Linked DNA regions of Oreochromis niloticus. The protein of the gene in region 2 purifies or fractionates together with the protein of the main gene of each other region. This does not show direct contact. Links are inferred from orthologs where the notes say so. Each region holds a gene or a part of one and is shown on either strand. Other genes may lie near its edges. The genes, in order: cherp and u2surp.

Region 1 (11,747 bases), on a different chromosome or scaffold from region 2:
ACAGCTCATAGTCCCCTCAACAAATGCAGGTTAAAGCTCTATCATGAAAAGTAGCCACATATGAACATGATCTAGAAACACTGCTGTCTTCTCAGGACCAAAGCTCACTTAAAATGGGCCAAGGCAAAGTAGAAAACCGCTCAGAGGTCAGCAGCAGTCAGTTCAAAAGCCTGAATGCTTGATGGCAGAGGATGCATTAGTGTCAAATTACTTGACAGCATGTATATTTGGAAAGGTAGTATCAATACTGCAAGGTATATGCAATATTTAGAACATATGCTCACATCCATCTTAGCCACGATAACCTGGATGACTTCACAGACATATTAATGCAGTAAAATTCATTTTATAGAAAAAGGTGAAACAAAGCCCAGTAAATGTTATCACTTAATAACATAAAATGTTCAGAACATAATCCTAAACTTTTCAGTAATTACAGGAGGATTACATTTGTATTACTGGATAAATAAAACTGTATTCATCCCATATTTGGGAATTATTTTATTACAGCATTTGAACTGACGATAATAATAATAAGAAATAACAAGAACAACAACAACTTTGTTTTAGCTTAACATTTAGCTTCTGATGCCACTTGCCAATAATATCTGTAATACTATAGTACTGACTGTAGTACGAATTTGAGTACCAAGAAATAAACAAGCTGATCTGGGCCAAGACTTTTCCAAGAATTAGGAAAATAATGCAGAAACTAGTTCAACCAATACTGACATTTTTAAAATTGTGCAGCCCTTATTCTATAGCTGCCCTGAGCAGAAGCATGTTACAGACAAACAGAATAAACAACACCCTGAGTCGGTGTCTTTGTATCTGTGCATGTAATCAAACCTGCTTCAAGATGGAGCCCATTTTAATCAAGATCATTAAGAAGGTATGGCCAAGAGAAATTCACTGAAAAAGCAAAAAATGTGAACATGCAAAATGAAAACAAACCAAAGTATTTTAAAGCACAATGTTGTGGCATCTGGCAAAAAAGTGCATAACAAAATGTGACTTTCCAAATAGAATTTTGAAATTTATCTGAAAATTTTGATTTTAAATAAATACCTTTAGATTTATACTCCTCCCCATCGTGGGTAGAGGGATCTAAGTGGAGAAAGGCAAACTTTAATGCATTTCAGTGGTATCACACAACTGACAGAAGAACACCATGCAAAACTGCACAACACTCTGCTTTTAGTATCAGGCTGCTGATTAGGTGACTATGCTTAAGTAATCAAAGCCAACTGTAGCACAGTAAATAATGTAATTTACTCTCATATTAAGTTCACTTCTTTGTAAAGATCCGTATCTATACCAAGAAAATATTTCCATTTTGCTCAAAGAACTGCTGTCCTCACAATAAGGACGTGACTGGATTGCTCCTCACGGAAGAATATGAGAAGGTTCTCTAAAGCAGCATTGCTGAAGCTGCATGTGGGAAGTTTCATATATTTTTACAGCTTTTTAAGTAAACTAAAGATTTAATTTGTGCATAGTTAGTACAATTACTATTTTGACTTCTTTTGAAAAGTAATATTTCAGTGATATTTCTTATTAGATTTTAAAATATAAATAAAAGTATGTAACCGGCTGGAAGCCTTCCAGTCCCTGCTCTGAGGAAGAAGCTTTGTCCCTGCTCTTTTTCTTCACGTCGCAGCAGTTATGGGCGCTGCTTCCAGTTTACAAACAGCCTGCCTTGTGCAACCCTTGATTCTTAGGGACGGACTGGCTGAGGTTTAATAAACTGGTAGGACAATGTTGGGAGGGTGTGCTCATGACAGACAGAGTCACCTGGGTTCTGTCCAACACTGATCCTGCAGAGCCTTCTCAGGAGACCCCGGGTGGTCAGTGTATAGTTGATGTATAGTACATCAACTATACTCTGATCATCTCTCCTTGCTAATGGTACTGACCTACAAACCCCTCATTTGCAGAACTAAACCAACCAACAGAATGATTAAGACCTTGTCTACTTCAAGATTGCTTTGAATAAACAGACTGGAATACACTTAGAAGTGTACAAATTATTTGTTCTATCCTACATCAACTTCTGCACTGCCCTGGTCATCACATTGAAACTAATCAAAGTGTTCTGAAAACAGAAACCCTGGGTCAATAAAGAGGCCAGAGAGCTGCTTAAAATCAGGGATGTTGCTTACAAAGCCCAGGATGTGGCATCTTATAGCCTAGCAAAAGCAAATCTCAAACACAGCACTGAGCCTTCAAAGAACAATTACAGATTCAGGACAGTTTCAACAAAAACAACTCAGATAATATGTGGCAAGCCACACAACATTTGACAGACTATCAAAGAAAAACCCTCAAAGTAAGCAGTAATCCTTCCCTGACTGAAGCATCGTTTTTGCCCATTTCAGCAGGTACAATGATGCAAGCGAAATCGACCTCCATCCCCTACCAGCCCAGCCTGAACTGTCTTGGAAAGAAATGACATTAGGAGTGTTATTGCACAGAATTAAACCCAGAAAGGCTACAGAACCTGATGGTGTTCTGGAGTGTGTTCTGCAGACCTGCACTGACCACCTTGCAGAGGTTTTCACAAACATCTTTAACCTCTCTTCGATTTCTGGGAGTGCACCAACATGCCTCAAAACTACAACCATTGTGCCCATTCCAAAACAAAGAACTAAGAGCAGCCTAAATGACTATCATTCAATTACACTTAACCTGATGATAGCAAAATGCTTTGAAAGACTGATTGTGGCTCACATTAAGTGATCACAGCCACTCTGGACCAGAGTCAACAGAGGAAGCCATCAGCCTTACACTCTATACCACCTTAGAGCACTTCAACAAACCAGGCAGGTACTGTAGAATGCTCTTCCTGGACTTCAGTTCTGCTTTTAATACCGGTGTCCCCGCAAACTGGTGTCCAAACTCCCAAACCGTCTCAGCCCGACCATCTTTAGGTGGACCCTGTATTTCTTAACCAACTATCCCCAGACTGTCAGGATGGGCAAACGCGCATCCTCCATCCTCAATGTACCAAAGGGATGTGAGCTGAGCCCTGTTCTGTAAGACCTGTTCAACCATGACTGTCAACCTTCAAACACAACAAACACCATCATCAAGTTTGCGGACGACACACAGTCACTGGCCTGATCTCCATTAACAACAAGACTGCAGATAGAGAAAAAGTGTAGAGCCTAATCGCCTGGTGCCCCATCAACAAACTCATACTACACAGCAGCAAAGCCAAGGAGATTGTGGTGGATTTCAGACAGTCAAGAAGAACAGAACTTGATCCTATGTACATCAACTATACTCAAATGCTGCTACACACATACACACAGTCCACACATGATTGCTAGCCTTCCTATTACAACTTCTGTGTAATAGCACTACATTTGCTATACTGTGAAACTTGCACATACAACTTGTAAAGTCATTACTAAATTTTCATAATGTTCTTATCTTTGCACATACGTTTTATGACCTTGTACGTATTTTGTATTCTTTTATTCTATTTATTTTTTTATTCTTCATGTGTACTTTTAAATATTTGCCATTTTGCACATTTTTTTGAATATTTTGCATGTTCAGGGGTTGCCAAAATGTTGTTATTTTGTTGTCCTACACAACAATAACAAAAACACCAAACTTGAATCAGTTCTAACAGACATACCTGTGGTATCAGTTTCAAAATCCTATGTCATCTTGTTCTCAAGTTATGGCATTCATTTTTACTAGATGCACCTGTGGTATCAATTTGAAAATCCTAGGTGACTTCCCTCTTGCGGTATCGCATTCACAAGATTTTCAGAAGATTTGACCTCTGACCTTAACAGGGTGACAAGAAACCCCATCAGCCTTTTACGGCTGAGTGATAAAAGGAATGTTAGCAGCACCTGTACAACAGAGGCACTAGACTCAGACAGCTCAAACTGGGAGGTAAAATACACGTATTTCTTCCCATTTGCAATTCAAAATTACTCGCCAACTAGCAAGGACCCTTTATGGCCATGTGGCGAGTGGGGGACATAGATTGTGAAGTGGGGTGGACACAGGATTGGTGCCACACAAGTATACCACCTCAACCTCCTAAAAGCATGGAGAGTGACAGAATTTTGAAACTCGTTGTATGTGCGTAAATAAAGAGAGAAACACCGAACAAAGAAACTGTATGCAAGGTACATATAGAGGGGTTCCTGTAGTGGCAAACTTGCTACAATGCCCACTTAGCTATTTACATTATAATTCACTGATGTCTCCTTGAAGACTGCCGGAAAAACTGTATGTGTAGACAGCGCACTGTAAGATACTACAAAACAGTGCTTCATCTGCTAATCCTCCTACCCAAATGTCGGATATGAAAATGATTCTTTGGACACCACCAACGTGTCTTTGATTATTGAAGAGATTCTAAATTTAAAGATTTGTATTTTCAAATTTAGCTGCAACAGTTCCTTCCACAGATTTGCCCGGTTGCTATTAAGCCAGACCAAAGTGTCATTTGGACACCTTTTATCCTGTAGTGAGATTCCAAGTCCACTGTCTTTAGTGCATTTACTGACTGATATCCTTGTTCTGCTTTTGGGGAGATTTTCTGTGAGCTAGAGAACTGACTCTGCAGCTGACGAAGGCTGCGAGCAGAAGGACTACTGCTGCCAGGTGATGATATAAAGGCAGTCTGAAAGCCTTTAATCAAAAGGAAAAAAATCCATGCCAAAAACAGATTCACATTACCAATACAATGCTGGACTGTTCAATTAACAGTTTCACCCCAAAACAGAAAAGTAAATAATTCTGCCAACATATCTGGTGCATGTACTGGGTTGGGGGTTTTTTTCCGCTTTTATCTGTAAAAACTGTTTTTTATTACATTTTTTTTAGTTTGAATATTTCTATTATAGTAAGAAATCCAAAGTACTGAACATCAAATGAACTTAATATTCCAATACTAAATTGACCTCTATGTGAAAATTCTGTTTTTATTGTGATGTGTCAGTTTAACTACATACGTTGCTGTTGTTCCATAGCAAGTTTGTACTTGTAGTAGCTGAAGTATTCGCCCCCAAAAAGGAAGGAGAACTTATGGTTGTCCTTCTGTTTTTCCATCGTCATCTTCTCAAACTCTGGGCCATTTCGGGCAACAAACTGGGCCAGCTTATCAATCACATTTCGAAGCTCCTGATCTGTACAAAAAAAACAGACATAAATACAGTGAAAAATGTTGTTGTAAAAACCACAGAACAGAGACACTGAAATAGACAGAAATAATAGTGACTGAAGTTCTTTTAAAAAAATCAAATAAAACAGATTTAGAAAATAATGAATTTCTTCTGAAACAGAAATATCTAGAAATGAGGTTGCGTAAGCATGAATTATTTCTATATTCCTACATAGTATTATTAAATCAGTTGGCTTTAATTTTACTCTTAATCGTGCTGCTGTAGCACAAAAATATCTATAAGGGATCTTCTTTCTATGGGGGTTCTTTTTCTTAAAAGCCAGCAGCCGTGAAAAGTTAGAACAACTAACGTTTACTCTCTATTACTGGATTATTTCTACACCATTTTTCACGTTAGTTGGTGCAATGATTACACACAGAGCCCGGTTAAACATTCATCCACTTCTGATCGGTGACCTTAATCAACATGCTAAATCCAATGGTTTTGTTAGCTATGTAGCAGATAGCATGGGTGCTCGCTTACGTTGAATCGAAATTTAAAATAGCTGTGGTGTACGGCTCACCTTCGGGAGGACTGGGGATATCCATGTTTAATTTCTGTTCCAGCGAACCACTTAGCCAGAATATGTATGTAAAAACTCCGCCAAATTCTTTACTTTTTCAGAAAAAGATATATCAAATTCCCCCAAAATCACTTGCATTGCCGCTGCTACGCACAGGAAATGCGATACAGAAACAGCGCCACAAAAGATGGCTATGGAATTGTCTCCAGCGCCCCTTGCGACTGGGAGGAGTGTTCGCGCCTTGCTCGTTTGGGTGGATTGATGGTTGCAGCGGCGAGTAAACGTCCAAAAATGAAAATATTTTTATTTAACTATAAGTAAAATATATATTAAAAAAATACAACATTTTAAAATATCTTTAGTCCTGATCTTTATTATATATGCTTACAAAATCCTATCCTAGAAAACATGGTTGAAACCCCGTAGTTTCTCTTCCTGGTCAATATAGGAGGCAAACCTTTTGGACAGATAGACCAAACAAGACACTTATCCAGCTGGATCCAGCACCCAGTCCAATGGGAATGCTGTGCTATCCAGTTGGTCATTTCAAATGACCCACTTGGCAGTGCAGAGCTATCTTTTTGTTTGTTTGTTGTATGATCAGCAAAAGACGGGGTTCAAAAGCATCAGTCAACAGTTTTTCCTAACCATCTAAGGTCCAATGCCCAAATGGCAGAAATTAAAAAAGGGAAAAGAAAAACAGAACACCAGAAAAAATGAACAAACAAAAGGGGTTTATAAAAGCAAGGCTCGATGGGTCAAAGGAGCAAGGATCTACATATACATATTTTGAGCTTAGCAACACAGTGTTTAGCACTATTGTGTCACAGCAAAAAGGTCCTGGGTTCACATCCACAATCTGGCTAGGGCCTTTCTGTGTGGAGTTTGAATATTCTCCTCTGGTTCTCCAGCTTCCCCCCACAGTCCAAAGACATGCAGTTAGTCAGATTACATTAATTGATGATTTTAAGAATTAAAATGGTATTTACCCAGAATAATAATTAGATTAACAGTATCAGAAATTTTGTTGTTCAACCCCAAAAGAAACAATAAGTAAGCATGGAAATGTTGACTATTTTCAGATAAAGTCAACTGTAAATGTCTGACCAAAATAAACTCACATGAGGAGAATTTAAAATAGAAATGATCACCAGTTTCACATTCAGAAGTACAAAAATTACATGAGTCAACCTCAATTTCAAATCGCTTTAATAAGAAATTTAGGAGTGGTATTCAAATGTTCCTTTCAACAACAGATCATTTTATTATTATGATATACTTTATACTTTATTAAAGTATTTCACCTCTCGTTTTACCGCGATGTAAAAATTTAAATCAAGATTGCAAATTGCTAAAATCTGACATATCAGAACATTTACAATCAGACCAGATGCTTTTGAGAAAAATTAATTTTGTTCCTTTAGAGATCACAAGTTCTTTTACAAAAAAAATGAAAAATACAACAACAAAGGCATTTTATCAGCAAACTGACTAATTATAAATTTACTCTATTTTATTTAAATTCCTTGACTATCAGGTGAAATTTTCAAGGAAAATAGCCCCCCAATAACCCCCACTAGAACACTGAGGTGAAGAAGCACTCTTTTTTACTTGAAGGACATCACCTCTCAGTCAGCACAGTAGTAATACACAGTACAACTGTCTGTAAATTGTGCTGCACTTGTATAGCATGAGTTTCTTTTTTATTTTATCTGTCCAACTAAAGAAAAAAGTTACACATAACATTATTTGATTTTTTTTCTATTGCTACCTCCATTCCAAATATTTTAAAGGTGTGTGGTTTATGTTCATAAATAGCCCTGTTTTTTTTGTTTTTTGAGCCACATTTCAGTCTACACTCCATACCAGTTGGTGGCGGCAAAACACAATTTCGTAGTTTTCCAACCACCTGCACAAATAACAAAAAGAAGAAGGACACAACAACTTCCTGCGACTGTCCGTGGATTGTGCTGTGGGGACCGTGACGGAGGTGTGTGAAATACTGTACATACTGAAGCTTGGTACGTTTAGACAACGTTTACACTGGGCGCCGTTGTGTGGTGGCGTTAGTGGATACCGTGTGATGTTGTTGTGAAAGAGTTCAGCCAATGATAGGCGATGGTTTATTTGTGGAAGCCGGTGTGCTCAGCGCGTGCTCCCGACGCAGGCGCAAGACACCGGAATGTAGTGAAGTGACAGCGGTGTTCACCAGGAAGGAGAGAAGCGTGAAAAAGATCAATAATACATCATGTAAAGTACAGAGCTAGCTGCAGGCCGTCGACAGAAACTACATCTAAATACTATACCCTCCGTAGCTGGTTTTAATATTGGCCTGGACTCCAGGTATTTAGTCAAAATCCTCATATGGCTCGGTTATAGTCTATATAAACCAGGGGTTGAGAAGGTAATTTATCCATTTAAATCAGCTGTGATGGATCAAGGACGCATCTAAAACCTGCAGGACACCGGCCCCCGTGGACTGGGATTGGGGACCCCTGATATAAACGTTTTGTTTTCACCTAGCAGTTATAGATTTTTAGTATAAATAAGATAAATTAAGACTTGAATATATATAATTTTCTCCACTAAACTATGAGTGAGGAAAAAAAAGCTTTCACGTTGCTCTAAGTTTACAGGTCCAAGATTCATAAGTGTCTTGCTCTCTTTCCAGCAGCATGGCTACTGTCGAGAAGATTGGATCAATAGGACAGGAGCTGGTGGACCCGAGACAGGACCTGACCAAGCGGTTCAGAGCTTTATTTACCCTGAGGAACCTGGGAGGTAAAACACCAGGACCACATAGTTTTATTTTTTATTTTCAAAAACTGGACAAATGACAAAAGCACTCAGCTAAGTAACAAAATAGCGGCAGTCCATGTGCCCAGTGCTCAAGATTTGCAGTAGTATGTAGGACTCCAACATTGGTTTGTAGGGGTGGGAATCACCCCACACATTCAGTTTCTTCTTCTTCTTTTTTTTTTTTTTCAAATGTAGTTGTGGTTGTTTCTGTCCTTTCAGCATATTTTAGTAGCCCCTATGTTTTCCAACAAAACTCACAGGAAAAAAAGTAATCTTTAAATCTCTAAACTTTGCAATAACGTCTTGCCCTCGCGCTTGCAGCCACCAGTCTTTTCCTCTTCGTATGGTTGGCTTAATCACAGAAAGCAGCACTGTACTGTCTGAAAGACAAGACATTCAGTTGTTTCTTTTTCTCTGAAAGATCTTTTTTTTAATGCAAACTGAAATCACAGCACAGCTGTTGCATATTGTTGCAATATATTTGGTGTGACTGAATGCCGGTAGTGACTTTTGGGTGAACTAATTCAAGCTGTCATCTGTGTGTGTCAGGTGCTGAAGCTATAGAATGGATCAGCAAAGCCTTCGCTGATGAATCAGCCCTGCTGAAGCATGAGTTGGCTTACTGCCTGGGACAGATGCAGGACAAACGGGCCATTCCTACTTTGACTGCTGTTCTCAAAGATAAACAGCAGGAGCCAATGGTTAGGCATGAAGCAGGTAAGCGTGCTTGATGGGGATGAGGAGTCGGTGTACTACCAAACACAAGTATTTTGACACAGTATGTTTTATGTAAGCTCTGTGCTCTGCACAGATGGTGCGTGTCCAGGTGTTCATTTGTTGCTGCACTAAATACAGAAGTTCCCAATTAATCTGCTTTTTGTATTTTTACAACACACATGCAATACAGACACACGTGCACTGTGTAAAATACCTAGAGTAGTAGAAAATGAACTACTCCCTTGTCATCAATTTTTTTTCTTAACGGTCATTTAGGTAAGGTGGTATAATTAAACAATTAAATAATTTAGTTGCTCCTCCACAAATCTTACCTTTGCTAAGTACTTTGTGACAAAAAGCAGTATAAGCAGCTGCTTGTCAAATGAGTCTGAAGCTTTGCCATTTTGGGCTGGTTACAAAGTCTTTTTTTTTTTTTGCACTGCAGCCTTGTGGAGATGGAGTAGTGACATGTAGACCAGTTTCATGTACTGCAGGTTCTGGTTTGAGGGATGCAATCCTCTCCCTAGCTCGCTCTGGTCTCTAGAGCACCACAAGGACCATTGATGCAGACAGTGGAGCTGGAATTCAATCCACTGGAGTACCAATCACGGCATCTGTATGATAGCATGGACTGCCAAAACAACAAAAACCAAAATGAGTAGCCAAATATACTGCCCCCACATTAAGATGCTTTAGTGGTCTTTGTAAGGAGCACTAGGTGCCTTGCGAAAAGGCTACACTTTGCCAGAATTGTCCCTAAAGAAGGTCACATTGAACTGAAAGAAACTGAGAATGTGTATTTGGCATGAGGGACTGTTAGTGAGCTAATATTTAACCACTCTCTTTCTGCTAAACATAAATTTGTGTAGAAAAGTATAAGTTTACATACATGTGTATGCAAACTCACTATACTTTCCTGGCGCAAGCACGATGGAAGCTTTTCAGAAAATATTTTGAGACTTGCAGTTTGCAGGATGCAAAAACAAATGAAAGCTGGAAACAGCGGTGCAGTTTTGAAGTCTGACTGCTATCTCTGTGTGCTTGTAGGGGAAGCTCTGGGGGCAATTGGTGATTCTGCGGTTCTGGACCTACTGAAAGAGTACAGTCAGGATCCTGTCATTGAGGTAAGAGCATATCACAAAATCTGCCTAAAACTTACAACTAGATTTTCATTTTACCTGCTACAGAACAGACCTACAATTTAGGCTTGGACTAATTTAACAGGATATTAATTAATTTTGAAGGTAACTGAAAAACAATTTTGACTGTTGTATTTGAATTGACTGGTTGTTATCATGCCTTTATTGTCACATCACTTCTGAACCGCCATCTTCCAGGCTGCTCTCGATGTTTCCTGCTGCCTTTTAAAGTTTTTCCTAAAAACTTTTACTAAGTTTATTAAATCTTGGGTGGTGCAGAAACTATACCCTCTACTTTGACATCTTCAACTCTATAGTGTCACCACTGCATTCCAACCCATCCCTGAAGCGTGGTTTCCTTGCTAGCCTTTTTAAAATATTATTATTATATTTATTTATTTAGCCTGTTTACTAACTGCTTGCTGCTCTCAGACTATGCATGTGTGTGGACATTGTCTGCTGGTATACTCAGTGTTACAAGATGACAAGATGTTCCAAGACTCCCTCTTGTAAGTTGGGGATCAGCGCTTGTCTTGGTTGGGCAATGCTGCTGCCACTGCCACCTCTATTTCTGCTGCTGTTGCTGCTCCCACTGCTGGATCTGATTGATGACATGCTACTGTGCCCCCTAACTGCTCACCATCTGCCACCACCTTGAGTCTTCTTTTAATTCTGGTGCTTGTTGTTGGCTACTCTATGGTCTGACACATGGCGGTGCCCACATGAAGGACATTAAGACCACAAAGTCTCTGCAATAGTTGTCTGTCTTGGCACTAATGACTTAATATATCGTCAGAGAACCTCAAGTAAGGCTTTATACACCTCGTGGGCAGCCACTGGAAAGCAGTGACCTGCTGTTGTACCCCCTTTTATTTAGTAATGTAAAGTTCAGCTGTTCAGAGTTCAATGGCACATCTGGTTCAAGAACTAATGCATTATTAAAGAAATTCCCTTTGTTGTACTACAACCTGTCATTCCTCAACTGCTCTGAACTTTTTCAAGCGAAATTGCCTTCACCGAAACCACTGGGATTCACATAATCTGTCCACAGGCACTGAACTAACCCTTCACTCTTGTGGGATTTCTGTTCACTCCCACTCTATTACAGAGACAGCTGTTTTCGTTACCATTGCTACTAGGCAAAATTTCACAATACCAGTGTAGCCAGGTCTCTCTTGGAAATGAGATTTTAAATCTCAATGAGATTTTTACCTGAATAAATAAAGGACTAATAAAAAAAAAAAAAAACACTGTTAAGTCATCTAATTTAGGGTAGTGTGTTACTGGAACACACTGGATCTGGTTTTTACTCTTGGTGTATCTATAAACTCCCTGCATATGTCTGATCTGCTGTCTAATCAATTCAATTTAAAACCC
Region 2 (11,742 bases):
AACTTCTGCAGTTTAGCAAATATAGCATAGATGTAACAGAATATAAACAAATATTCTTACTCTTCTTTTAAGCAGCCTTTCTTATTGGCCTCCTCTTCATCTTCCTCCTCCTCACCGTCATCATAAGGACCATGGAGGTATGGATTAAGAGGAGGCGGGCGCCACAAAGAGCCGTTTTTAAACATCCTAAAGTCATCTGTTCGCCATTTGGCTGGTGATTCACCCTGAGGAAGTAATAAATCACAGTGAACACATTGATAAAAAGAAGAAACTCAGTGGAATGGCTAGTTCCCCCTGAAATTTGGCAACTTTTTTCAAGATAGAAAACTAACCTGCAGTATGGAGTACAGCTTCCATCGGTAGTATACATGTGCTGGGCTCTGGTTCTCAAATAAAAACCTGTCATAAAAAGACATACACAACCTTTATAACTCAGCACATAAAGAATTTTAGCTAACAGAATAACACTACATTTCTATTGTGCAGCTAAGCTCACCTGTACATGGGATTGTTGATCTCTCTGTTCATGATCATGGCTTCAAACATTGGTCCTTCACGCACCACAAACTCGATCATTCGATGGATGAGAGAGAGCAAATTCCTACAAGAAAAACACAGTTAAAGCAAACGGATTCAGACTGGACGGACTCTTGAACACTACTAAAACCTCCCAATTAAAGATTAATTTATTCTTGGTGGTCTGACACACTCAACAGGCTGACTAGGCAAAGACAATTTATGTCACACAAAGAAATGCTGCAAGCCATAAATGCAGCTGTATTGAGCTATACCTGAATAGTAAACTTCTACTGTGATATTATATACTTGGCACAGAATGATGCCTAAATCATTCTAAAATCTTACCACAATACCCATTTATTATTTACTATGGCGACGGTTTAAATGACGGGGAATATGAGACAACAGATGACTGTCAGAGTGCGTCACATGACCAGGAATAAATTAACCATCACTGTGGCTACACCTCTGGGCCTACATATAACATCAATGAATACACGCAAAAAATAAAAATAAAAAATATGTATATAAAAACATTTTGTGACAGTACGACATTCATGTCAATTAAAAAAAACAACAAAAAAAAAAAAGGAAAAGAAAAGCTTTTTTTTATTACGTCTACAAAGGTCATGCCTGTGTTCTTTGAGGCTACAGTGCAACAGCTTTTAATTACATTGCACTGCTCGGAACCTTCATATAAAATATCTCTAAGTTCAAATTTCACAATGTGGGGATGAGTGAAATTGGGAACAACAGGAGCGAGACATTGACAAGACGCCGTACTAACAGGAATATTTGTCAGTACAGTGCCTTTCAATTCCCACTCTTTCCTTCTAATGTAACGTGAAAAAGCAGTACATGATCTTTGGCCTAAAACGGGTTATCTACTAGTGGAGTTGGTACCGACTTAAAACTGTGCAAATGGGATCGTTAGAAGTTCTTCTGTGATAATTTGTAGAGGAAATAAATTGTGCAGGCTGCATACAATTAGCCTAAAGTGGCCAACAAGACAAAGGATGTCTTTCATTTGACAACACAAATCACATTTACTTGTATTGGAGCCGATCGTACCAATGACGGGGTAAAATTCTGTATACTTTCCCAATCCATCCCATGATGCTTTTCAGGTCCCTCGCTGCTGCAGACAGTTCAACTTGTGCTGCTCACCAAGGCCAATGTCAAAGGTCATATATAGACTAATGATGGCAGGTTTGGATTTGTCAGCAGGAGCTAAATTTACTGAGCTCCTCATAGTGACAGAGGCCAAGGGGGGAGACGGTCTGAGTGAGCAATGGTCAGAGAACAGGTTTTCACAACTACGGATCTAGAATCAGCAGATCATGTATGTAGCAGAGTACAACATCACTAAAGTTGAGAAACACGATTTAATGTCTATGTATGGAGTGGTACTGTGAAAGTAATGATCTTTTTCTCTAAACAGCATAGTTATTAAGATCTATAATGATGTTTGGCTACACATGTAAAGAAAATATGAATGATGGAGGGATGTGAAACAAACTTCAGTCTGTATTATTCTAGGTACTAGTATGAAGACGCCGTGCAGCTGCCTCAACCATTGCTCATCCACACTGACCAGCCCCCTGTAGCATGCAGTGATCAAATGATCAAACTTTTTAGTTTCATTATGGGATGTTTTTTTTTTTTTCTAAGTTTGTACACCAATTTAAAAAAAAAAAGAAAAACATGTACCTTTCTGTTGGGATAACCACTTTGACTATGGCTTGCGACAGAGTCTGTATATGAAGTCACATCAGATAATAAACATAGAATGTGAGTATTGTTACAAAGGCAACAGGTGAAAAATATAAAAAATGCATTTAAAAAGTGCAAAAAGACAATAACTTTCCTTTCCTGCTGTCAGTTTTACTAGTGGCCAAACAACCCTGATACTTTACCATAGTAACACCTCTTTGTAACACTGAGCATTTTGCACACATTGACATTTGATAATGACACTTTCTTACACACAACAACTAATTCAAAATCTAAATCCTGTACTGACTGCTTATTATGACTAACATCTTACCACCACAATTAACAAAACATTGCCATATCCCATGAGAAAATCCTAGGCTGACGTATTGAATTACCTTGTCGAACTCCTCCTTGTTTTTAGGTGGAGGAAGCAGAGGAGCATTGGGGTTCTTTAGCCTCTCTCGGGGCTGTGCGTTGAATGGGAGGCCAGAGGGAGGCGGGGGGAGTGTATGCTCCATCATAGAAGGAGGGATATAGATGGGATGGGGGGGAATGGGCACACCTTTTCCCCATCCTAATTTCATCTCAAAGTTCATTATCATCTTTCCTGTTATGGGAGTAAATGTGCATTTAATTTTACCACGCACATGTGAACTGGAAAGAAGATAAAAGGATGTAATATATCAACTTAATAAAAGAATTGGAGATTTGTACCATTTAGGTTTTTGAGTGCTCGCTCTGCATCCCTCCTGTTCATGAAAGCCACAAAGCCACAGTTCCTCTCCCGAGCCCTTTCCTCATCTGTCCTCGGCCACATGATTTTCACACTTGCCAGTGGGCCATACCGGCCAAACTCTTGGCACAGCATCTCTTCGTTCATCTATGAAGTAATAAGAGTGATACAAATTGAGAAACACAGACATTGCATAAATATTTCCCACTTGGAATTAAGGGCATATTTAGCAAATTTCTAAGGAATAGCAACATGCTCAAGCCCCTCCTTTTATGGCATGCTTTACATTACTTCCACTTCATGCATGTGGAGATACAAACCTGTGGATTGATGTTTCCAAGGTACAAGTTAGTAGTGGATGGATCTCCAACGTCATGGGAACCTGGTGCACAGTCATCCAAAACTGCAGACACAGAGAAGAGAAAAGAATTTCCTGCTGCTGTCTGACAGGTCCAACATTATTTTCTTAGCAAGATGAAGGTATTCACGGTCACTATATTAAGTCAAAATTACCACTGGACGGACGGTTTCTTCGTGAAGAACCATCCGCTAAAAGAAGCAGAAAAGCAGTATAAATTTTGTTTCAGGGGTAGATGTGGACAAAGGGACAGAGGGTGGCGTAAGGCAGGAAAGGGCCCTGTCAGGCCAAGTTAGTGCACGTAAGGCAGTCATGTGACTTAAAAACACTTACAGGAGCGTCTTCCATCTGTCCCGGATAGCGGTTCGAAGCGACTAACACGTCCTTTCATCTTGTGTCTTTCATCTCTCTCTTCCTGTATTCTACAAGACACAGACACATATCACAGCTGATTATAATCTGTGTTTAATATATTACAACTTTAATAACCACACCACAAGTCTTAGGAACATCTAATATCCACCACTAAAATCTTTTAACACCTTTCTGTGTTAAAACTTACTGTTTAAGTTCTTCTTTGAAGAGCTCCAAATTACTCTTCTTCTTTTCCTTTTCACTGCTCTTCTTTAAGCCCTACAATGAGAAAACCAGGTAAGTGTTATTCAATGCAAAAGTTAGACAAGATGTTCTCATTCTCAGAAACAGTACTTACATGCCGTTTGTCTAATGCTAAAAATTGTGGTGGGGTTTCCAAAGGCAGGATGCTTTTTGGTTGGTTCTCAAAACGTGACTTGGGCTTGTACAACTTTCCTCTCTTGTCATCAGCAGCTGCTTCCTCTGCAAGGAGAAAAAATCTTTTAGTTTTCGCCCTCCAATCACATTACCATTTCAGTTTCCGAAGTCAAAAGGTTTGGTGAGCTGTTCTTTAACATTTGCATATTTTGCAATCAGTTTCAGAAATATATAATGCAAAACGTATACCTTTCGTTGCATTTGCAATGCCACCACGGACAAAAGCTTTGACTTTTCCCTCCCCTCCTCCTTCAAAAGCAGCAAGAAACTCCTCATAAATTTCAGCTGCCGCTCGTTCATCTTCCTGAATACACACAGGCACACAAAGGTGTCAAAGTAAATAAATCATATAAATCTCTGACAGCTATTATTCATGCAGAGAAAACTGTCCAAAAAGATAATCCATACTTACTTTTTTCTTTATTTCATCTTGTTCCTTTTTGCTGAGGGTTCTCTTTGCCACTGCCATCTTGCCAATGCTGAAAGACTTCAGTTTGCTCTCAAGCAGCGCCTGTACATGTCAACAAAGTATGGTTGTTTTCACCAGGTATTTAATAAGCACACATTACGACTATTTAATAACTGGATGGTAAACAACCACGACTTGTTCAAGTAATGTTGAGTCCTGCTATCATTATTATTATTATTATTATTTAATATGCCTATCAATTATCACGTAAACAGGTAACTTCAGCGCGGTCTGTAGCCGCTGGTTTATAAAGTCGGCTGTATTAAATGGGCGCCTGCAACCGTTACTCAGACATTTAACACTAATTATTTAAGTATAATACATTACACATTTACGACCAAGCTGCAGCTGGAGACCAGGAAAGATTAAGAAATTAGCTAAATTAACAGGAGGCCTAAGAAGTCGCCTTTTGGTGCAGCGCCACGGACTGAATGCATTACGCTAAACGGCGAATGACGGTTAGGCCCCAGCTCCCAAATGCTTAATTTACTATTTCCACACTGAAATATACAACCACTGTACGTCATCCTGAAGACAATGAATGTGTAAAGCTTGTGATTTGCGAACAAGTTTATTCCTGTGATAACTGCTTCCATTAATCCAGTTTATGGTCGCCAACACATTAGCTTAGCTTAGCTAAAACCAGCCAGTGTGGCTGCGGCGCCTCAGTTAGCTGTAGCGCGGCAGTGTTAGCAGACACTGTTGCGCACACTCCCTGTTGTGGTCTTTTACAGCAAACAGTTGGTGCTGTTCAAGCACAAGATTATTCGCACAGTTCCCATTACAACAGGTGCAAATGAGCTAAAACAACTACAAACTATAAGTTTACCTTAGCGCTAGCTTTCTGAGAGCCACCAGGCGTTCGGTCCGCCATCTTTTGTGGAACTGAAATGAATCGATCGCCGAGCTGATGATAGTGGCAACTATGAAACTCCAGGCGTCGCAATCAATCACAGAATCACCGATGCTTCTCTCCTCTCTTCTTTCAGTTTCTCAAGCGCGACACCAGGATTCAAAATGCTACCATGTATTAAAACTATAAATATGTATAAATTAATAAAATTAATACCCGATCTATTACACCGATCAACAGAGATAATGAATTGGCACCGAAATACTTTGAAAGAGAAAAATTAACTAGGTCGACAGGCAGCTCTAACTCTCATTTTTTTCTGTTGTTTTTTTTTCTTTTTTCAATAGAAAATGTATTTGCTGCTCTAAGTGACTTCAATCTCACTCTATCCTTTTTGTTTGTTTGTTTGTTTGTTTGTTTGTTTTTGTCCCCACTGAAAATTCCGATGTGAATGGTGTGTATATGCCATAACCAGCATGCATGTTCCGTATAACTCAAACTGCAGACTCAGACTAAGATATCAGGGTAAATAAACAAAGAATGAAGGAACGTGTATTCATTTAACAGGTGTTGGTCAGTGTCCAAACACTAAACGTGTCCCAAACACGTTTAGTGTTAGTGTTAGTCTTTTTCTTATTTAAATATTAATTTTTGAATTAACTGAAAATAAAATGAGCATCCATGACATTTAAAAATAATGACATGGACTGAGCATTTCAAGAAATGCAAATGGACAAATAGGTAACATGTAAAATAGAAATAATAATTATATAATCAAATAAACAACATAATATGATGGAGAGAACAGCACATTTTTGAATTGGAATTTGAGTGATAATAAAATTGCTTACACCATAGTTTGTCCAGCAGGTGGTGCTCTCTTTCAATCCTCAGATGACCCCTTTGCTGTGCACAACTCTAACAAGCTGCCATATTTTATGTAATTGTATTTTGTATTTCAGTTTATAGACATATATAAAATATAAAATAAAAAAACTTAAGAGTGGAGAACCGAACACAACACAAGTTGCCTCATTCACCTTTAGGCACATGCTGTTATTTGAAGTCAGAAATATACACGTTGATCGGAATGTGAAACCATGCATAGATAACTTCTGGAGTCAAGTTTATTCATGCCATCTCCGTCAAGGTTTTTCGTTTTCAAGCAAACTAATGCAAGACCCCACTCCCTCCCCTCCCAGCGCGTCTTTAACCCCCCCTGAGGGAAAAAAAAAAAAAAAAGAAAGAAAAAAAAAGAAGAAGAAATGTGCACCCTGCGCCCCGTCCCTCCTACCACGCAGAACAAACGCTATATTCATCTGCTTGCTTGAGTTTTCCGTTGCTGAAACTCCTTACAGGAGCTCCTGGGTACTTTTCCCCTCCGTTTTAGCCTGTTGAACACAATGCCATTCATGCCACGGGGCGAAAACAGGCGAAGCTCCTGCTCCGTTTTCCCAACAATGTGGAGAACATGCAGTATTTTTTGCGCATGGACTGTACTGTTCTTGACAGAAGTCTGTGCGCAGTCCCAGCAGAGGTACTTCTTTATTTACTTTTTACCCCAAACTCAAATTTTCTTGAAAGATTTATTAGATTAAAAAAGTGTTAAGGATCCCATTTAGCTCTTTGAAAATCACCGTCAGATGACTGGAGTTAGAAGAATATTGTGCAGTATGGGCTGCCTCGGGACATGTGGCGCATTGGCGAGGAACTGAATGCACTGGATCCAATGGATATTATCAACTTTGTTTTTAAATTTTGCTTTAATGCACCGTTATTATTTTTATTTATATGTATAGAAAATATCTTTCTCCTCAGACCAATCTTTACATGTGGCGGAAACATCACAGAAGAGTCCGGAGTAATCGGGAGCCAGGGGTACCCAGGAGTTTACCCTCCAAATACCAAATGTGTGTGGAGAATCACAGTGAGTCCAGTTGTTTTTTTCATTCATAGAATATGATGACAGTGATAAAGCATTGTTCATTTAAAAGAAACCTACAGTATGACAATCTTTGGCTTAGTCCAAACTCCTAATTTCCTTCTAAAAATAGTTAACCACAGCCGCAGTTAGCTTAGGGCAATCTTTGCTGAGTGACTCTGTGATGTTTCTGTACTTTACAGCAGTGAAGCTGATGATTAGGTTGGAAAAACGGCATAACCTGGGTTAAAATGCACAATTAGGTTAAAAGGTTTGAGAGTATTAAAGTAATTTAGTATTTGCTGAAAGGTCTATGCTCATTTGTTTGTTATGCCATTTAATAATAATAATGATTTAACTAAACATTCTCCAACTCCCCACCCAGGTCCCGGAGGGGAAGGTGGTGGTACTGTCATTCCGCTTCATTGATCTGGAGAACGACAACCTGTGTCGCTATGATTATGTGGATGTCTACAGCGGCCATGTCAATGGACAGAGACTGGGTCGCTTCTGTGGGACGTTCAAGCCAGGAGCCCTTGTTTCCACAGGCAACAAGATGCTCCTGCAGATGGTATCCGATGCCAACACTGCTGGGAGTGGCTTCCTGGCTGTTTTCTCTGCTGCCCATTCACATGAGCGAGGTAAGAAAACATGGGAAGAAGAAGAAGCTTGTGCATGCTTCCTCTTAACACAGTTGTCTTAGTCAAAGGTGCCAAGTTTGCAAGGATAGCAGAACATCTTGCTGCTATCCAAGCATGTAATGCAGAAATATGTGGAGCTTCTGTAATGTTACTAGTAAGAAGTAAATGTTACCTTGTTTGTATGCAGACAACCAGTAAAGCAACAGGATGTATCCGATCGTGTAGTGCTCAGTAAGAGCAGGTCTGTGGGCTAAAAGTCCATGTGGACAAAAAGAACGCTGCGTTTTAACTCTTCTCGCACTGTGATGTGGAATTTCTCATGTTTTTTGGCTATTGTGCTGCAAAGCAAAGGTCAGAAATATCACTTAGAGCCTTTAGCCTTTTCCTCACTGGGCCATCTACTGTTTTTAGAATTTTAATGTCTGGTTTTCTGTACCGTGGGAGCTGACAGCTGTAGTGGACAGTGTCAATTAACCAGTCGGCCAGGCTCTTACACGCTGGCAGAGAGACTGTTGCTATCCTGTCTTTAAACATGGTTAAAACTCTGCTGCATCACATGTCACCCATTTATAAAGATTTGTTTTCTTCAGTTTGCTAAATGTATTTTTTTACATGCTGGAAAGGCAGAATCAGTTAAAGTATGTGTTATAGGGAAAGCGTGTTTTTAAGCGATGTGATCCTTTGAGAGTTATTGTTTGTTTTGAACTGATGTTCCTCTGATGGCAGTTATTTTTAAACCCACAGATGACTAATGACAGACTTGCTTTTTATGGTGTTCATAATGACAAAAAGGCAGTGAGAGCCCTTAGACGCAGTTAATAACATGAGCACATTACTGACTCACCATTGTAGCCTTTAAAAGATTGCTAAATAGCATTCATTATTTCATTCAAGCAATAACAGGAGCAGTATTTAGCTAATTAATTGTGTAATCCTAGCACTAACTTCAGTCATTTCTCCTCAGGGGACCAGTACTGTGGAGGCAGGCTGCTTAAGCCCTCTGGGACTTTCAAAACACCCAACTGGCCTGAGAAGGACTACCCAGCTGGAGTGACCTGCTCCTGGCATATAGTAGCACCAAAGAACCAGGTCATACATTTAATTTTTTACTTTAAAAAAAAATGAGTAAATGCAAATGTTTCTTTCTGAATAACTGGCCTCAAATGAGCTGAAATTCCGGGAGATTGTGCAAACGTTTTGAGTCACTCCTAATTTCTTTGTGTTTTGCTTCCAAGGAGACACCCTGTCTTGCAATTTTTTAAAGTGGCATTTAGCAATACTTCTTCAGGCTTTCTGGAGGGTTTTCAAAGGCTTTCTTTGAACATTGGCTGCTTTTTCACTCATTTTCAGGCCAGTCCTTGTACCTGAGCATTTTCAGGGGACTGTCTTTGTTTGTTTGTTTGTTTGTTTGCTTATTATGCCACTTAACACATATCTGTGAACCATTCAAATATAAAAAAAAAAAGAGACTCCCTTAGTCAAATCTATGAAAAAATGCCAAAGATCTCACAGTTTGACAGGCAGAAAATAGTATTTTTGTAACAACAGAGTGATTCCCAATGAGTTTTTAGGGGAATACACACCATGTCATATCTTGACATGGTGTGTACCAGATAAACAAAGTTTTATAAATAAATGAAGATACAGAAGTTTTTCATCTAGTCTTTTTCCGTGCACGTTTTCCCTCTATATCAATGATGAGTCAATGCCAGTGGCGGAATAACACTCTATTGAAATAAAACATTACAAGTTACCTGAGCCGTTCTTTTAAGAAATCTTAGTAAGTAAAAGGTGGAGTATATCTTTTCAAAAATGACAGCATACACTTTAGTCAGATGGTGCACCCTAGGGCCTGTTATAAGCTTTTGCTAGAAAAAAGAGGATTACTTTGTAACTTGTCTTCTGCTGCAGATTATTGAGGTGAAGTTCGAGAAGTTCGATGTGGAACGAGACAACTACTGCCGCTACGACCACGTCTCCATTTTCAACGGGCCGGAAATAAACGATGCGAAGAGGATTGGCAAATACTGCGGAGACAGCCCCCCAGCGTAGGTGATTTCTGTCATGCTGTAGATTTCATTTTCACTAAACCATCGCGTGATTTCATCTCAGTTCATCCTCAGTCTGCTTTCCCGTGCTGCTCTGCAGGCCGGTGTTGTCGGAGGGGAATCAGCTCCTAATCCAGTTCCTGTCAGATCTCAGCCTGACTGCCGACGGCTTCATTGGGCACTACAAGTTCAGACCAAAGAAATTCCCCACCACAACAGTACTGCCTACAACTACCACACAGCCAGTCACCACCAGGCCAATACGTAGGTAGCAGCTTATATTCAATAGAAACCATTAAAAAACATCTAACATCCATAGACTTCTAATATCTGCATTAGCCGATTTGACTGTATTTGCTTTGTGCTGCTGGATTCTTTGATAACATCTGGGATTTTATATCCTTCTTTCAACTTGAGAAGGATCTGAAATCTGCTTCCAATAGCAAACGTAGGCAAGAGAAGGAAAGAGCGAGGTGCTTAAGTAGTAGTACAGTGTGCTGCTTGTGGCCATGCATTCTGCTACTGTCCCCACACATGTGGCTCACATAAGAGCAAATGCTCTGCTCACATAAAATAGATTATAGCAGTCAGCCAGTGAGTCAATAGAACATACTGGAAAGTGTTGTCCAATTACAGATGCAGCCAAGCACATGTTGTAACACAGCATATGCTAAAACTATGTGTTATGCTCATAAGACTTTTCTCTTGTGTAAACCGTACATAACACAAGGGGTGGGCGTGTGTCTGCACCTGCAATCACAGCTCATTTTCATAGTCAGACTCGCATTCCCACACATTGTTGTTTTTTTCCCTCATTCAGGCTAGGTTATTTTGGCACCCCCCCCGCTATGATATCAAGCTGTGTCACTGCTTTCTGGTTGGCTTATCTCCCCCCCTCACCCGACTTTTCCCTCCACAGTAAGAAAAATATTTGCACAGTCACATTGTATTTTCTTCAAGCCTCAGTTCTTTCCTTTATGGATTCCCTTCTATCTTTAACTTCAAAAACAGACGTTCCCTCGCCACATAATCTAGCTATTGTCTGTGATACTGACAGCCATCCATCTGCAGAGACACTTGTGTTACCAAGAATACTCAGTAAATAGGCTGCAGCAGAAGCAGATGGCAACATAACTTACATGCCCACGTCACTGGCGGGCAAAATTACAGAGGCTGATTTTTTTTGTGTGTGTTTCTTTTTCTCTCTGTGCAGCTCTGAAGTACTCTGTTGCCCTGTGCCGGCAGAAATGCAAAAGACGAGGAACGCTTGAGAGCAATTACTGCTCCAGCGATTTTGGTGAGAACATAAAAGCTTACTGTAACTTATCAAAAACCACATTAAGCCATAGTCACTGATACATTCCAGCCATTTTTGTATCATATAACATATCTGCTTTTGCAGATACTAATCCTAAACAGCTTGAATTGCAGATACTCTGAAGATATATATGAGCAGACCCCATGCTGACAGCCAAAACCCCCCTTAAGTAGCAGTTTATAGTCCTGATTATGTTGCTATCTTTGCTCTGTGATTTTTTTTCCCTTACACATCTCAAAGACTTCCTTGATAGCCTCTCAGGAAGTGAATGACTGCATACAGTAGGGCACGGTTACCTGTAGTCTAAACACACACTCATACTCAGCCGCTGACTGTAGGCAAAGTGGCAATAAATGAAGGTGTTTATTCAGGCT

Evidence for each region.
Region 1: the proteins of u2surp (region 2) and cherp purify together in Homo sapiens (affinity purification with mass spectrometry; 4 studies listed by BioGRID and IntAct, with this or other methods). This does not show direct contact. The link is inferred for Oreochromis niloticus from reciprocal best matches to the Homo sapiens genes U2SURP and CHERP.

The regions. Positions count from the first base shown.
Region 1 is NC_031981.2:23,791,789-23,803,535, forward strand, and holds the start of cherp (calcium homeostasis endoplasmic reticulum protein), read right to left. Parts: upstream 5,892-11,747; 5' UTR 5,741-5,891; coding exon 5,716-5,740; intron 5,157-5,715; coding exon 4,983-5,156; intron 1,108-4,982; coding exon 1,069-1,107; intron 1-1,068. Other genes in the region: dohh (deoxyhypusine hydroxylase), read left to right, coding at 8,391-8,496, 9,064-9,231, 10,279-10,355. UniProt on the Homo sapiens protein: Involved in calcium homeostasis, growth and proliferation.
Region 2 is NC_031974.2:17,222,212-17,233,953, forward strand, and holds the start of u2surp (U2 snRNP-associated SURP motif-containing protein), read right to left. Parts: upstream 5,555-11,742; 5' UTR 5,462-5,554; coding exon 5,417-5,461; intron 4,630-5,416; coding exon 4,531-4,629; intron 4,423-4,530; coding exon 4,308-4,422; intron 4,164-4,307; coding exon 4,039-4,163; intron 3,960-4,038; coding exon 3,889-3,959; intron 3,749-3,888; coding exon 3,660-3,748; intron 3,518-3,659; coding exon 3,482-3,517; intron 3,372-3,481; coding exon 3,289-3,371; intron 3,116-3,288; coding exon 2,950-3,115; intron 2,843-2,949; coding exon 2,631-2,842; intron 2,274-2,630; coding exon 2,230-2,273; intron 602-2,229; coding exon 497-601; intron 400-496; coding exon 333-399; intron 225-332; coding exon 61-224; intron 1-60. Other genes in the region: pcolce2b (procollagen C-endopeptidase enhancer 2b), read left to right, coding at 6,844-6,977, 7,259-7,367, 7,747-8,002, 8,967-9,091, 9,914-10,050, 10,151-10,314, 11,264-11,347.